Linked DNA regions of Cricetulus griseus. The protein of the gene in region 1 interacts with the protein of each later gene in a pairwise test. Links are inferred from orthologs where the notes say so. Each region holds a gene or a part of one and is shown in the gene's direction. Other genes may lie near its edges. The genes, in order: Mid2, Utp25, Syt17 and homeobox protein Hox-B9.

The links.
Region 2: the proteins of Mid2 (region 1) and Utp25 interact in binary tests that used the Homo sapiens proteins (3 or more experiments, as listed by UniProt). The link is inferred for Cricetulus griseus from reciprocal best matches to the Homo sapiens genes MID2 and UTP25.
Region 3: the proteins of Mid2 (region 1) and Syt17 interact in binary tests that used the Homo sapiens proteins (3 or more experiments, as listed by UniProt). The two-hybrid records come from large-scale screens. The link is inferred for Cricetulus griseus from reciprocal best matches to the Homo sapiens genes MID2 and SYT17.
Region 4: the proteins of Mid2 (region 1) and homeobox protein Hox-B9 interact in binary tests that used the Homo sapiens proteins (3 or more experiments, as listed by UniProt). The two-hybrid records come from large-scale screens. The link is inferred for Cricetulus griseus from reciprocal best matches to the Homo sapiens genes MID2 and HOXB9.

The regions. Positions count from the first base shown.
Region 1 is NC_048604.1:39,661,727-39,665,765, reverse strand, and holds the start of Mid2 (probable E3 ubiquitin-protein ligase MID2), read left to right. Parts: upstream 1-1,216; 5' UTR 1,217-1,713; coding exon 1,714-1,717; intron 1,718-4,039. UniProt on the Homo sapiens protein: E3 ubiquitin ligase that plays a role in microtubule stabilization. Mediates the 'Lys-48'-linked polyubiquitination of LRRK2 to drive its localization to microtubules and its proteasomal degradation in neurons.
Region 2 is NC_048598.1:2,106,724-2,110,284, forward strand, and holds part of Utp25 (digestive organ expansion factor homolog), read left to right. Parts: coding exon 1-150; intron 151-713; coding exon 714-802; intron 803-2,040; coding exon 2,041-2,451; intron 2,452-3,561. UniProt on the Homo sapiens protein: Component of the ribosomal small subunit processome for the biogenesis of ribosomes, functions in pre-ribosomal RNA (pre-rRNA) processing. Essential for embryonic development in part through the regulation of p53 pathway.
Region 3 is NC_048596.1:82,172,131-82,176,210, forward strand, and holds the start of Syt17 (synaptotagmin-17), read left to right. Parts: upstream 1-1,224; coding exon 1,225-1,239; intron 1,240-4,080. UniProt on the Homo sapiens protein: Plays a role in dendrite formation by melanocytes.
Region 4 is NC_048600.1:109,428,846-109,433,117, forward strand, and holds the start of homeobox protein Hox-B9, read left to right. Parts: upstream 1-1,411; coding exon 1,412-1,928; intron 1,929-4,272. UniProt on the Homo sapiens protein: Sequence-specific transcription factor which is part of a developmental regulatory system that provides cells with specific positional identities on the anterior-posterior axis.

The DNA.
Region 1 (4,039 bases):
GTGTTGATTGTGCATTCTATTGTGTAGGTGTTAGGTGCTATGTAGTCTCATATGTCATTTGCTTTTGTTGTCTGTGTTTTGGGTATGACGCATTAACTTTAAGATCTCTCAGCCCTGTACTTCCCTTAAGGTAGCATGGTTGGGTTTTTCCCCTTCATTTCCACTCCATAGTTCTCTAGCACACTGTTTAACAGTGCTGTTGGGTGACTGCTATTGGTTCCCTGACAAGACACACCCAGCAACCTTCATTTTTTTTCTGGATTTGTTCCCAAGCACAGTAATAGGAGGCTCATGTGATTGCTTTCCTCTTCTCTCTTTTTGAGTGGAGTTTAAAGCAGTATCCTCTGGGGCAGCTTCCTTCTCTCATCCACCTTAAGAGGGGCAGTGGTCTTTGAGTCAATAGTAAATAGGCTGACTCCAGACCAATGGGAGGCTCCTGGGTTCCAAATGGACCAATCTTCTTAATAGGGACCTAGCATTCTTGGATGACTAGCTTCTGCCTCTTTGACCTTCTGTTAATGACCATCTTGTCTTGTTTGTCAAGTGTCTGAAGGTGCAAAAGAAACCTTTACTCCCCCATACACTTTCAGTGGCTTTAATCCACCCGAACAACTTGTGGCCAAGGCCAATAGAACACAGCCACTCTCCCTTTGTAAAAAGAGAAAGGGGTTGGGTTTCCTTCAATTGTCTGTCCTTCTCTATCTCTTCCATGCCTCTCTAGTTTTACTCTCTAGTTAACTTTGCATAGTACAATAGTACAGCTTCATCAGGAGGACCTGTGCGGAGGTTCCAGGCAGACTCTTCTCATTGGCGGGTGCCTTTTCCTTGCTAATCTGGGGGTTTGTGGAGGTAGTGGGTGGTGGGTGGGAGAAGAGTTTGGCCATAGTCTTCCCTCTGCACTTCACACACACTACCCGCTCGCAGACGCACGCATACTACACACACACACACACACACACACACACACACACACACACACACACACACACACACACACACACACACACGCCTGCTCAGACCCCTTTTCCCTGTGTCTTCCATCAAGATGACAGGGCGCTGGAGAAAAGGCTGCTGGAATCAGCTGGTAGGTACAGTAGTAATCTGAACCCCACCCACCCGCTGCCTTTGCTTGCTCAGGTTTCTCCGGTCACTCCTGCCGGGGGAGAAAACATGTAAGCGCGCCTCCAGAGGAGGGGCACGGGGAGCTGGGAGTGGCGGGGGCGGAGGAAGGTGAGCCTAGGAAGGTGGCCCAGCGCCCCTTCTGCGCGGGCCCCTCCCAGTGCTCCCTTGGGGGTGTCAGCTTCGGCTCCGCTTGCCCCCACTCCACCCTCCTTTCGAAGGGATTGCTTTTTTTTTTTTCCTCTGCGGCGGCGGAAATGACAGTGTGGTGCTGCGGTGGTGTCATGGTGCTGCCTCTGGACTGAGAGGCGAAAACTCTCAAGTTTCGCCCGGGAGACCCAGACGCGGGAACGTCGCGGTCTCCGTGCTGTCCCCTGTGGGGCGCGCGGGCTGGCGGATCCCGGCTGCTGCGCGGCGGTGGCGGCGGCGGCCGCAGCGGCGAAGGCAGGCGGCGGCCTAGAGTGGTGGTGGCGGCGGCGGCAGCGACAGCGGCCCGGGAGCTCGCACGGGAGCCCAAGCCAGCTTGCTGCGGAGGCCAGCGAGCGGCCGACGCTCCCAGGCGCGTGTAGGACATGGCTGGCACCCGAGAACAATATGGGTAAAAAAATGCGTCCCCTCGTCGCGGCCCTTGGGTGGGTGGGGGGGTCGAGTGTCGCCGCCCGCGCAGGGCTCGGCCCCGGCTCCGGTTGCTCTTCAGGTGCCAGCGTTGGCCGAGGATACCCGGGCTCGGCGGGAAGGGGAGGGGGGGAGACAGGGTCCGCGAGGCTCCAGGCGGCAGTAGCGGGGCCCGCGGTGTCTGTCACACTGTGGTGACCCGGGTTCCTGCCACTGCCCTCGTGCGAAGGAGTTTGCACTCCTGGATCCCAGGCGGGGAACGGCCCGAGGCCTCCCGCTTGGCCAGGCCCAGCCGGGAGAAAGCAGTGGAGCGGCTCTCCTGGCGCCCAGGCGCAAGTCTGGGAAAGGGCGCAGCCGCCTTCCCACGCTCCCGCAATCCACGGCGTCCTCGGCCCGGGCGGCGCCCCGTGGTCGGCGGTTTGCTCAGCGGTGCTGGCGCAGCAGCCTGTGATGCTGCGGACACCCAGCCGGCGGGAACCCGGGAGAAACTTAATCCCCCCTTTTCGCTGGAGGAAGCAAGGGATCCTCAAGTCTCTGTCTGGGTGGTTCCTTATTTCTGGCCTAGCTGTGAAAGCAGCGCCGTGGGGGGGGGGGGGAGAAGGAAAACTTGAGGGTGTCCACAGGACACACTGCTACTGAAGCAGGAACATTTGAGGCTTTTCCCATTTCGGGCTCGTAAGAATTAAGTAACGGCAGGCAGATTTACTGTAACACTACTGGCCATGAGCTGGCTTAGGTTATTTCGCACTTCACGTGCAGCACATTATTTATTTATTTAGTTTGGAGGCATTTCTATTTCGAGCAGGCAATTAGGATCCTGAGATGATGGGACTCCTCACTTTCCACTCTCTTGGCACTCCTTATGCACTGACACTAGTATGCCTCTTATTCCTGCCTCACAACATTTGTCCACCCACGTCTCTCCCCAGAGTCCCCGCACTCTCGGCTTTTCTCTACCAACCTGTGCACATCATCCAGCAACGCACCTTCTTGCTTTTCAATCACTTTGCTTTTTTTCTTTTTTGGAAGATTTTGTAGGGTGGGGCCGGTGAATGGCAGTTGTGTGTCTCCGAGGGGGAGTATTTATGAAGGAAAACCCTGGAAATTGTAATAATAGACAACTGTTGTGTGGGGATTAATTAATCCGATTTTCAAATTGGACCATAAGGGCTGACTTTAATTCGATTCTACTTCCTCTCCGAAATCGAATCAACTCTGACAGAATTCCAACAGGAGAAGGGGTTGCCAAATAGAGAGTTTATATTTCTCACTTCTGCTTATGGAGCCTCTGCTATACCCTGGCTTAGCACCTCACCACACACACACACCTTTTTACCTCCCCACTCATCACTGCCCTGAGGGAGAGTCAGTTTTTGTTATTTTTATATATTCCTGCTCAATTAACTTAATACAGACTCATAATGTGAATTAAATTTCTCTTGATTGTTCCTTACAAAACTTGATTCATGTGGTTGAAACACAAGTCTTGGAGCCAAGATCAGAGAGTCCATTGCAAATGTGATGTTGCATTGGCTTTATGGCCTTTAGACATTTGTATGACCTTTCTTTGACAGTTGCTGCCCTTGCATAAAAGGCATAATATTATGCACTGGGTATTGTGAGTATTGGCTTGGTCCTTTGAAGATAAAAGGATTCTATAAACCTCAGCATTATATTTTTCAATGAAAGCACTTCATTTATCCTTTATTGGGTTACTGGGTTGACTGGGTATAAATGGGAACACTAATTTACAGAAACCTTAATTTGCCATTATTAGTCCCCCTGGGATCCAAATCATTATTGTAATTTAGATCTTAAGTCAATTTGTTTCACCAAATGTATGTGTAGCTGAATGGAAACATACACAATTAGACATAGAAAGTAATGGTGATGATTTTAAGTCGAGTCATAAATCATATTGATTGCACTCTAACCTAACAATCTGAGTCAGACTCATTTGAATACACAACCTCACCCATTTTTAGCTAACATGGGGGCAGTTACTTAATGCCCAATAAAAAGTGGCATAGTTTTAGGTCTGGCTAGCCAAGCATGATTAGCACCTTGCAGCAGTGAGTCAATATTTTTTTAAAGAACCTTTAATATACAGAGGCCTCTGCTGATTGTGTTGAGGCCCTAGACTTGTCTCAGTATTTTGGGTTCATATTTGTGTTATGCTGAACTCTGCTTCCATCTCCAAGGCTAGGATGGGGCGGGGGAGTGTAATGTGTGGAGTAGAAAGAGCGGTTATGGACCATGAAGGGCTCTCTCTCTTCTATTTACTTTCATAACTACTAGGATTTCT
Region 2 (3,561 bases), on another chromosome or scaffold:
AAGAAAAAGATGGCGAAGAGCCGGCCGATGCGTCACAGAAATCCTCGGAGGAGTTCACAGATGCAAAACACGAGTCCCTGTTCAGCCTGGAAACCAATTTTCTGGAAGAGGACAGTGGAGGCAGCAGCTCCTCCCAGAGAACGTCCCAAGGTGAGAGTGGCTCATCTTGCCCCAGCCTTCCTTTGCTGTGCAGAACGCATGGAGCCTGCCCTCAGGAATCTTGCCATGTGCCAGATGGACAGGAACTTGTGCTGGCTTGTTTGAATTGGTGTGGCATGGTAAGGACTAGAATGTGATGTCAAAGGGGAGCCAGCTCTAACCTCTGCCTGGAGCCAGTGCTGTGCCTGGCACGGTCGACCCCCACAAGGCACCTTTCTGTGAAGGAGTAGCATGCAGGTGAGAGGATTTTTGGTGTAAAGGGAAAGACTCAGAAGCAGAACTTTCGGCTGTGTAGTTCAGAAATCACAGAAGAGATGGGTTCAAGTGCAGCGGCCAAGGCTTGAACTTGAGGTGAGGCTTCAGGCTGGGATGTTGTGTTCAGCTTGCCAGGCGCTCTTTACTAAGCTTTCGTTGCCAGGAAGATCAGCATGTTGGTCTCATCAGGGACTAGAGGTGAACGTGTCATTTTCAGAGGTGATGGGACACGAGTCCATCACTCTCAGACTAGAAAGCCCTGCATTGTTCCCTGTGCTCACTGCTCTGTTCTGAATTAGATCCATTTCAACAACATGTCAACAAAGAACTGAAAGAAAAGGAGGTCCAAGCTGCCACTTCAAGCCCTCCAACTACCCAGCAACTAAAAGTAAGTGCTGTTTGGTTTTCCAGGCACGGAGGGAAACCCCGAAGAAACTGTGGTCTTTGGTTTATTGGCATATATTATTCATAGGGAGTTTCATTTTGTCAGACGTTGGGCTTGTGTCTCTCCTCTGGCCTCAGCCTCCCAAGTGTTGGGGTTATTTATGGATGTGATGCCATACAAGGTCTACTTCACTTTCCCTTTTTTTGACTTTGCAGATACATGTGCAGGTGTAACACACACCCACACACACACACATACACACACAACCGGTAGCAGATAGCAGAGTACAGTACAGTATCACAACCAGAAAGTGGACATAGATGCCATTTATTGCTGCTTGGAACTAACTCATGCATGCAGGGCTAAGTACTCTGCTTACCCTGGCCTTGCATCCCTGGACTCGGGTCCTGTGTACAGTGTTGTACTTCTTATAGGATCTCATTTCCACTAGCGCAGTAGGGTGTGGAACACCAGCACTGTGTGTCTTATCAACTGGGTCTCACTATGTAGTCCTGGCAGGCCTGGAACTTGGTATGTAGACCAGGCTGGCCTCAAATCACCAGAAGAGATCTGTCTACCTCTGCCTCCCCAGTACTGGGATTGAAGGTGTGCGCCACCATGCCTGGCTCTGTTGCTCCTTTTTACCTTACACACTTCCGTTCACATTCCTCACTCCTAAATCCTTAACCTCCTGAGCTCATCTCTGTTTCTGGGAGCTCGTCAGTTCACAGTTGAGTAACTGGAGTCACCCAGGGTGGGACTTTAGCCACCAGCTGCTTCATTCAGCACAGCTCCCTGGAGAGTCACCCAGGCTGCTCGGCTGTCTGTGGCTCCTTTCTTTTGTTGTTGAAGTTGCTGTAATTTTAGATCAGCAAGTTTTCTACAGTGAAGAATTTCTAAACATGTGTCTCACAAAGTAGCATTGCTTGACTGGGCATATCTAAAAAGGAATAGGGAGAAAGGGAGCAGTGGAGACTAAGGGAGGGAGGGAGGGAGGGGGGGAGGGGGGGAGGGATCAGGACTGAGACAAGTAGAGCCTTTAGTATCACACCTTGTACTGTAGCACATTGCCAAGGAATTTTCATTGTTCCCAGACATGACCCTCAGAATATGAAGGAAACACTAGAGACAGAGCTCAGGTATGAAGTCAGGCTCCGGGCTAGTCTGTGAATCATCAAGTACCCTGTGAGTGTCGGGTTGTTAATCATGCCTAACTTAGCTCTCAATCTGTCTACCCCTAGTGGCCCGTCCTGGGACAGCTTGTCTTTTCATCAAAGTTCCAGAAGATGGAAACATTTAAACCTCCGAAGGATGTTGACATGAAGTCACTTCATCTTCAGAAGCCTCTAGAATCCACCTGGAAAAAAACCAATAGCCAATTCCTATCTGGTCCTCAACAATCAAATAGCCCCTTTACCCCGCTCCAGAAAGAGCTGTTCTTAATTATGAATTCTTACCGGGACCTGTTCTACCCAGAGCGGACTGCCCTGAAGAATGGAGAAGAGGTCCGCCATGTGTACTGCCTGCATGCCATAAACCACGTCCTCAAAGCGAATGCCCAAGTGTTAGCTAACAACAGTAGGCGCCGGAGCCAGAAACTTGGGGTGGGTGAGGATGATGACTTCAGGGACCAAGGGCTAACCAGGCCTAAGGTGAGTGGCGGCAGCAGGAGAGCTTTGTCCTCAAGGAGGCTGTGAGGCACTGCTGAGTCATGAGCGTGTGGACAGTTGACTGGTTAGAGAATCCTCATATGAACTGTTGAGCAAGCCAGGCAGTGCAGGGGCTTCAGATGCTGTCAGCAGTGAACCTGAAACACATTTATTTAAGCACCCCATTGGGGGTGGTCTCTTCCTGGTGACTTTTGGCTTACTGGCACCCTAGTGAGTTTTTTATTTAGTCCTTATAGGTGACAGCTATGGGCAGACCCAGATTCACAGAAGGTCCAGCTAAAGAGAATGGGGGAAAGGTTAACAGAGATGGACTAGAATTGGGCTCTTCACCAAGCCACAGACACCCGTTTTTGTTGTGACGTTCCTAATGCTTAAAGGGATGACTGTGTTTGCTTGTGCTCTTAGCCTGATCTCTGGCATGTTTGAGGTTCTATCAAGAAAGGAAATGGATTTACTTCTGTCCTCATCTTGTCTTTCGTGATGCCTCGAGGGGAGCCAGGCCTTGTTCTTTGACTTGCTCCCCCATCTCCTGGAAGAGGCTCATGCTTTTAGACGCTTACTGAGCTCTACAGGTCTCAAGGGAGTAGATACAGTTATGGCTTTTAAAGGATTTTTCAGTCTGGCCTCTTGTTTAATAGCTGGGGAATGAAGTGTGGACACTTACTTAGTGTCACCAACAGGACAGTAATCTAGCCTTTTAAATCTTGGACCGGCACAGGGCAAATTACTTACTGTTTTGGCCAGCTGGTTACATTTCTAGGAGGCTGCCTCAGGCGCATGGACATGACATTGAGGCTGTCTGTCTCTGTTGTGCACTGTAGGAGAATCAGGCAGATTGCCCTAACTTGTGATAGGAATCTCCGGGTTTGACTAGAGTTACACTGTTGAGTTTCTTACTTGAACAAGAATGGTGGGTAGTTAGAAATTAGCTCTTTGCTAAGCATCTTCTGATTTTCTACTCAGCAGAAACTTGCTGCATTTATTTTTAGATTTATTTAATTTTATGTGTATGAGTGTTCTGCCAGCATGTATGTGTATTTACCACATGCATGCCTGGTGCCTATGAAAGTCAGAAGAGGGTACCAGATCTCC
Region 3 (4,080 bases), on another chromosome or scaffold:
TTCCATATTCCTTTACTCATTTATCTCCCCTGGAGGCTAGGCTGGGCAGAAATTTGATCCCATTTTTATTGGTGAAAAGATCGGGACGCCAAGAGGTTGAAATGACAACTCGATGAGTTGGTGAGCAGCGACACCAGCTGCCAGTGATGGAAAATAGAAACTCGAGGAGGGCCCCGTTCTACCTCAAATCCCTAGCGGGAGGCTTGCACCAACCTCAGTGGCCTTGCAGCGGAGACCCTGGGCTGGGAGATGTGCTGGCAATCTTCCAGTGCTGGGGTTCAGCCCCGCGGGCTGGCAGGCGAAGCAGACCGGCAGCGACAGGTCCTGGACACTGGGATCCCAGTTGCCCTCGAGCCGTCACGCCCCGGGCGCAGCCGGACGCTGGGTGGCGCTGCGCGGCCGCCCTGCCCCAGACCTGTTGCGTCCTGGGCTCCAGCCGAGATGGTTAGGGTAAAGGGTCCCACACAGAGCCGAGCGAGGATAACAGTTCCCCTGCCTCAGCACTGTCCTGGGGACTGCCAGGTCCACCTTAAATAGGTGGCGCCTGCCATTCAGCTTCTACACACTCCCCAGCCCGGTTCTAGGCGCGTCGTGTGCGGCTGGCATAAAACTTTAGCCAAGCAGCTTGGGGAGAGGGAAGGATGAAGCGGACCTTCCAACTCCAGACCCCACAGTGTGCTGCGCGGTGTCACCTCAGCCTCTCAGGCGCCCCGGAAGCCCTGCTGTCGATCAGGCAGTGGATCGGTACCACTCTAGTGCCTGCCGGCGGCGCTGACCGGGGCACCGCCTCCGCCCACCCCTTCGCGGTCCCCATCCCCTCCCCCGCCTCCCGCGCTTGGGCCCCAGCGTCGCCAGCCCCGCCTGCTCCGGGGTCGCCGCAGTTCCCGCGGCTCGCCCGGGACTTCCTGGCCAGGAGCCCGCTTCATTGCAACCCGGGAGCGCCCCAAGGTGTGGGTGTGGGTGCTGGTCCACCAGAAGCTGAAGCCGGGGACCTCGGGGCATCCCGGTTCTGCGCTCCAGGGAGGCGGCCCCGCAGAGCTGGGCAAGGACGGGGCGGCCGGTGGAGGGGCGGGCACCGCTCATCAGTCACGCCAGTCACGTCTGGGGCCACCCGGCCGCCCACTGGTGTCTTGCCGGCTGGCTGTGCCACCTCGCCGGGCCGGCGAGGGCAAAGGGGCTGTGGCGACGCCATGCCCGGGCCGGAGTGAGTGAGCGCGGGCGAAGATGGCGTACATCCAGGTAGGACTGTGGCTGGGGGCGACCGCCAGGGGATAGTGGGGACCGCGCCCCCTCTGCCGGGAGCGCGCGACGCAGGAGTGCGCACCCGCCGGCTCCCACAAACTTACTGGAGGAAAAAAAAAAACCCACAAAAAACAACAAAACAACGGGTTCCCCAGAGCAGGCACCTGTGCGTGTCCTGGAGCCTGGGCAGGGGACCACAGACCCGATATGGAGGGCCCTGCGTGGGGCCTGCATCCTCGCACTCGTCTCCTTGGAAGGGGAGACCGTAGGGTGACTTTGCACGCCCCCCCGTCCCCCCAGCACCCACCCCAGGGGAGGGGCCGCGGGAGGGCGGCCCGGGGCGCGCCAGCCACCCGGCCCGCCAGCGCCCGTTGCCGTGGTGACGGCTCCGGCTAATTGGCCGGTGGAGCCAGCTGGAGGCAGCTGTTCAGACCTGGAGGGACAAGGACATCGTTCGCCCCGGCACTGGGTGCAGAGGGGTGGGGACATCCAGAGACCAGTGCCCTCTGATGAGGGCTGTGGAGACAGTTACTTCAGTCCATTGAGGTCTGAGAAGTGCAGACACACATACACACACCACACACACACACACACACACACACACACACACACACACACACACACACACACACACACACACAGAGACCACCCCCAAGACTCAGACGGAGAGAATTTCCAAGTACCCCCTATCTCCCCCCCACACACACACCTTTGGAGGGGGCGGATGGGGATGGACTGTTCTGCTTGGCAAAGAAAACCGTTTCTTTTGCAAATTGCAAAGTGGTGACAGGTCATCGCCAAGGTCACGCGGTCAGACCAGTAAATAGATACCAGGAGCTGCGGGGGGTTCTAGGGCTGCCTGCTCTTAGCCAGAGAGGAAGCCAGCAGACTGGATCCCAGGTCCAGGGACTCATCTTCCCTCTCCCAGCCTTAGCTGGGGGCGGAGGGCGGGGGGGGCGGGGGGCGGGGGACGACTGCAGACCCTCTAGGGCTCTCCTGATCTCTTGTCCCCAGCTCCTCCAATGGTCTGTCACCTGGTGGAACTTGACCACCAGGTCCTCCTCTGGCTTTGATCCCCAGGAATGGTTTGCAAATTTTTCATGGATTGCCTAGGTCCTGATTTCAAGTTCAATGAAGGTCACATTTACTGTACATCTACTGTGTCTTGGAAGTTGTTGGAATACTGTTCAATAGTTGCTTAACGACACCAGAATGACAGCAATTATGGAACATCCCTGAGGACATAGGTCACAGTCCCTTCCCCTCTGATGTCCAAGGGAGTGAGCAGAGAACAGTGAAACAAGTTTTTATGGTTCTTCATCGAATTAATACATTTTCTTTTTCTGAGACAGGCTCTCACTATATAGCCAGGTTAGCCTTGTGATTCTCCTGCCGCTGTCTTCTGAGTGCTGGGATTACAGTGGTAGGTCACTCACTGCTCAGCTACCTAAAACCATATTTCAGCACAGAGAAGTAAAGTCACTTGTCAAGGTCACACAGCTATTTAGCAGTCACAGTGGTATCTGAACTGTAGGCTAGGAGGGGATGTATAAGTTGTGCATCTCAATGGTTCTGCTTCCCTCTTAGAAGCAGTCTTTGAACTTCTACAGAACACAGAGACTAATTTTTTTTCTTCTGCCTCAACTTTTCAATAGGGAAAACAGTACTAAGGCAAGCACAGAGGGAGGTCAGAGTGGGCATGGCTATGAACCCACAAAGCTTATTTGTTTTGGTCAATGAGTTTCAGAGACTTTCTGAAAGTCAGGAAATAGTCGTCTGTGATGTTTTGCAGCCATTTAAAAAAATACACAAATCCACTGGGTCGTGGTTGCCAACGCTTTTATTCCCAGCACTCTGGAGGCAGAGGTAGGTGGATCTCTGTGAGTTCAGGCCAGCCTGGTCTACAGAGATAGTTTCAGGACAGCCAGTTGACACACAGAGAAACACTGTCTTGAAAAACCAAAAACCAAACAAAACAGGAATCCTTTGCTTGAGGACTGGGTAGTGGCCCACCATGGGGCTGTGAGCCGGGAGTCTGCTGACCTCTGTGTGCCATGCCTGGGGTTTTCTCTTTATGCTTCCTGGTGGGAATCAGTTCTCCACTGGTATCAGAAGAGTGAGCCCAGAGGATGGAGTGAGGCAGGATGAGGCCCTGACTGCGGGCCTCCTTTCCCATTCCCTTTGCCCCTGTCGTGGGTTGCTCCTGGGCCACCATGTCTTACCTGGGCTTTGAGAAACTGTGCATTCCTCTGGCACCTTTTCTTCTCGCCATGGCTATATAAAAGGCCCTGAGAACACACCTGTACATTGCTAGGATGCCACAGGTGCTTGGAAAGCATTGTTTTGCATTAAACTTTTCATTTTGTGGTGACTGGGGGAACCTGGAGGACTAGGGAGGACTGCACATCTCAGGGCATGTGTGACAGTGAGAAAACAGCTCTGGGAGTCACTTCTCTCCTTCCACCATGTGGGTCCTTGGGATTTAACCCAGGTCATTGGGTTTGATGGCTGGCAAGCACCTTTACCTACAGAACTGTCTTACCAGCCCTCAGTTGTTTGTTTGGCTTTTTTTTTTTTCTTTTTAGACAAGGTCTTGCTGTGTAGTCCAAGCTGGCCTCCCTTCACCACCCCCCTTCCTCAGCCTCCTGAGGCCAGGATGATGGGTCTATGCTCAATTTATAGCAAACATCTTCAAGCCGTTTCTCATGCCAGCCCCATGAGGGCAGAGTTTTTATGGCTTGAACTTGCCAGGGTGGTTCTTGATGCCCAGGAGGCATAACCTTGTCTCAGAAGCCACGGAGAAGGTATGTTTGTTTGGAGGTTGGGAGCCACACAGCA
Region 4 (4,272 bases), on another chromosome or scaffold:
CCGCAGAATAGCTGCTAATAAAATGCACTATTTGGAAGCTCCACCAGAGGATTGTAGGGGGGAAGGCTGCGGGTGGGGGACACGGACTGGTTCTGGGGACTCCGCTGTACTTGGTACTGCCCTATGTCGGCATTTGGACATCTTCCAGAGCTGGACAAGTACTAAGAATTTAGCTTGCCTCCTTCCCTTTTTGGATGGAAAAGGAAAGTAACCGGGTGTCGCTTACTGTGCTGTTTGGGGACCCTCTCCCTACCTCTGGAGAGCTCCTTTAATCATTTCTCACATTGGCCTCCTCATCTGGACAGTTTTACGGTCTCAGAGGATTCTGGACGAAGGACAGAAGAAATGGCCGTGGACCCAACCCTTCATAAAGGCCCAAGAAATGTCAGGGAGTTAAATAAGACTGGTTAGTCCCGTGAAACTCTTTCGTAGACTAGCTACGGGGTCTGGCTAGTCCCTTTGGCCTGAGGCAGGCTCTAATTTCAGGCCAGATAGTGAGTCTTTGGACATTGGTTCCACTGAAATTCCCTTTCTCCTCCCTGAGCTCCTGGAGGATCAAGAGAAGAGCCTAGTCATGTAAATCTCCCCAAATTGTGCCCTGATTCCCCTCCAAAGAGGATAACTGTCCTATAAAACCCCCAACTTCTTCCCCACCCCTTTACTTTCTCTCCTGTGGGTCGCTGTGCTGCTGTTGTTTAATAAACATCTCTGTCAAGGGGACAGAGGACAGGAAATGAGGGCCTGCGGGGTGGAGGTGGAGGTGTTGGGGGATGACAAGACTACCTCCTCTTTAATTACCCTGTCGGGCCTCTCCCGCTGCTCTGAGGCTGGGGCGCTCTCTCTCCCAGTATGCTGGTCCTCCTCCCCTCCCTTTCTAACCCGCCTGGGGAGAGGGCTCCGCAGCCATCATCCCTCCAGAGGCAAGCCCGCTGCTTGCCTCCGCCTCTCCTCCGCCCCCATCGCCCCATGTTGAGAACCCCCCTTCCTGCAAAAGCGGGAGGGGCCCCGGGCGGCCCGGCAGCTCTGGCTGAGGTTACGTGGCCGCCGGAGCCCTGACGTGATAGCACATTGCATCAGCATAAAACAATCCATCCTGGATATGGAATGCGGTGAGGACGGATGACAGCGCGAGCGCAGCCCCCTCGCCCGATTGATTTATGTCGGAGCTGACGCTTTATCAGGCAGTCCGCAAAACTTTGACCAATCATTTTGCAAGGAGCTCCGAGCCGGGCTGCTCCACTGTACTTTGTTGGCTGAGAAGTTGAGCAGGGGGTGGGGTGGGAGGGTGGGGGTCTGGGGGGGTCGCGTCCGAAAGCCCTCTACACCGGGTCCGTGTGCCACCTCTCCCTGCTTGGGCGCCGAGGCGCGAGCGCTTCCCTTCCCCCTGCGAGCGCGCGGATAATGTCTGAGAATGTCCATTTCTGGGACGCTTAGCAGCTATTATGTCGACTCGATCATAAGTCACGAGAGTGAGGACGCGCCTCCAGCCAAGTTTCCTTCAGGCCAGTACGCGAACCCGCGGCAGCCGAGCCACGCCGAGCACCTGGACTTCCCCTCGTGCAGCTTCCAGCCCAAAGCGCCGGTGTTCGGCGCCTCCTGGGCGCCGCTGAGCCCGCACGCGTCGGGGAGCCTGCCGTCCGTCTACCACCCCTACCTGCAGCCCCAGGGCGCGCCGGCGGCAGAGAGCAGGTACCTCCGCACCTGGCTGGAGCCGGCGCCGCGCGCCGAGGCCACCCCGGGGCAGGGCCAGGCGGCGGTGAAGGCGGAGCCGCTGCTGGGCGCGCCGGGGGAGCTGCTCAAACAGGGCACGCCCGAGTACAGTTTGGAAACTTCGGCGGGCAGGGAGGCTGTCCTGTCTAATCAAAGAGCCGGCTACGGGGACAATAAAATTTGCGAAGGAAGCGAGGACAAAGAGAGGCCGGATCAAAGTAAGTTATAAAAAAAAAAAAAAAAGTGAGGAAATCCCCCCCCAGGCTGCAGGCCAGGCCCGGGGGAGGGGAGGAGAGAAGCCATAAAGCGGACAATGTGGAGGGACAGCGCGCCGGGGGCTGCAGGGCTAGAGGGGGTGGAGGAAGAGGAAGGAAGGGACCTGGGTAGGAAGAAGCTGTGTGCCATGGAGGGGGACAAGGAGGCCACCCCTACTCCTCCTAGTGGCGCCTGGACTGAGCCTCAGGGATCAATCCTCTAGTCCTTCCTCCTTTCTCCCCCTTCGGCTGGAAAGGGGGAAAGAGAGCTGCGACAGTTGCTTGAGGAGCGAGGGGGCCGGGCCGGTGGCCAGCGTGGCCCAGAGCCCTCGCGGGCACGGGCCGGAGCGCACCCGGCAGAGCCGCCTGAGCCACGCGCAGACGGTCCCCGCCGGCCAAGGGGAAGGGGGAGGGGGCTCATTAGGATTTTATTTGCGATGCAACAGCTTGGCTGAGGATTGTTCCTAGCAGATCTCACGCAGTAGCCGTGTCGGGTCGGCAGCCGGCGCCGGGAGGGGCGGGGGAAGCCCAGGATGCGGTGACCGAGCCCCCTCCCGGGTGCGCCGGCCCCTCCCCGGGAGCCTTCCTTCCAGGATCCCCCGCCCTCCTAGGGCATCCTCGCCAGGGTGGCCGCTTCTGCCTCTGCGTTTCCCAACCCCCTCCGCGGGGCTCTGGAGCACTAGCCGGGGACAGTCTGCCTCTCAGAGAGTCTGGGAATCACTTGCTAAAGTCAGGGCCCACCTCCAGAATGGAAAAGAAGACGTCCCGAAGGGACCCGGGGGAGGGGTGGGGGGAGACTGCGCAGGGGCGGAGAACTCTACCCTTAGCGGAGAGTTTCTTACCACCTCCCATTCCTAAAAGCACCCTTGCTAAAAACCCCGTGCGGAAAGCGATGCTGGCTGAGAGGATTCTTTTACTTGTCGTTTTTTTAAAGGTGGGAAAAACAAACCGGTTGGGGGCTCTTAGTTCCCAAACAATTATGGACAGATTGACAGGTCAACTCCTCACCACTTACTCCTTTGGACAAGTAGTTTAGTTCTTGCTTGCCTTGTCAGATTTCCCACCAAAAGAGTAGCCAATGGGTCCTCTGGGGGCATGCTTGCCCTCTGAAAAGTAAGGAGAGACTCTGCACCCCCCTCCCCGCCCCAGGCCTTTGCAATCCCCATACCTCCAACCTGCCAGGTTGAGTCATTAGGAGCTGATATCCGGGAACACAGCTCTTCCCAAACCTCCTGCAAACACCCAAACAGAGCCCTCACCCCATGGCCCCAAACTCGGCCTGGAAAGCCCATTATTGCACAGCAGCCGTTTGGCTAGGATCAATTATTAACAGTTTCCCCCCCTCTTTCATATTTAATGTGGCTTCGGGTCCCATCCCAGGCAATCACATTAAGAAAATAGCGCTGCAAATTGGTAAGACACGCTACTTAGTGTAGGATGAACTGAATTTTAAAATACACACAGACATTCAGGGCTTTTCACTTGGGGAGGGAGAAGCTGGTAGAGGGGGATCTTACTTGTAATAGGCTCCGCTTTTGGGGAGCAACTTTTCTGTGTCCTGGGGTCCAGGGAGAGATGCGAAAGAGAAAAAAGAAAAGCCTGTATACATTATTTCCTGATTTTGCCCCTCTTCTCTTGTCTCCCCTCAGGGTCAGTTAGAAGGCTTGTTAAGCCTAAAGGACTTTCTGTTACTCCTCCTCAGCTCTGTCTCCCCACCTTGGGGCTGGAGCAATTTTGCTTCCCAGTTTCCCTGAACTTGTGTTAACCGAACTCTGAGCTGAGCAGCAGAAAGGAAGAGGCTATTGCCACCATAAGTTATCTGGGAGCCCCGGGGCTCCCCTGTCCACTGGCTGCAATTGATAAATGGTTGCAATTGGGTTTCTTGTGAGTTGGGAGTGTGCTGGGTGTTCCTGGCTGTAAATGTGAACTCTTATTTGTGGTGTGCGATGGGGAGGGGGTATCTATTCAGAACTCACATGTCTGCTGCCTCCTGGCCTAGAGCTGAGAGATGGCTATCTGGGCAGGGTTTCCTGGGACTGAGCTGAAGGGCCAAGAGATCTCTTGGCTGTGGCTGAACAGGACTCCCTTGTCAACCCAATTCTTCCCCTTTCCTCCCAGACCTAGAGCCAAGGTCAGCCACTTTTAGCCGGTAGTGTGGCTTCAGCTATACTGACCTGAGTCCAGGTTTGTTTGGATACAAGTAGAAAAAGGCTGTGAGCCTGCCTGGGGCAGTGGAAGCTTTGGAGATGCTCTGGTAGTTTAGCTCTATCCCCTTAAAGGGCTATTTACTTGGAACTGTCTATATTAA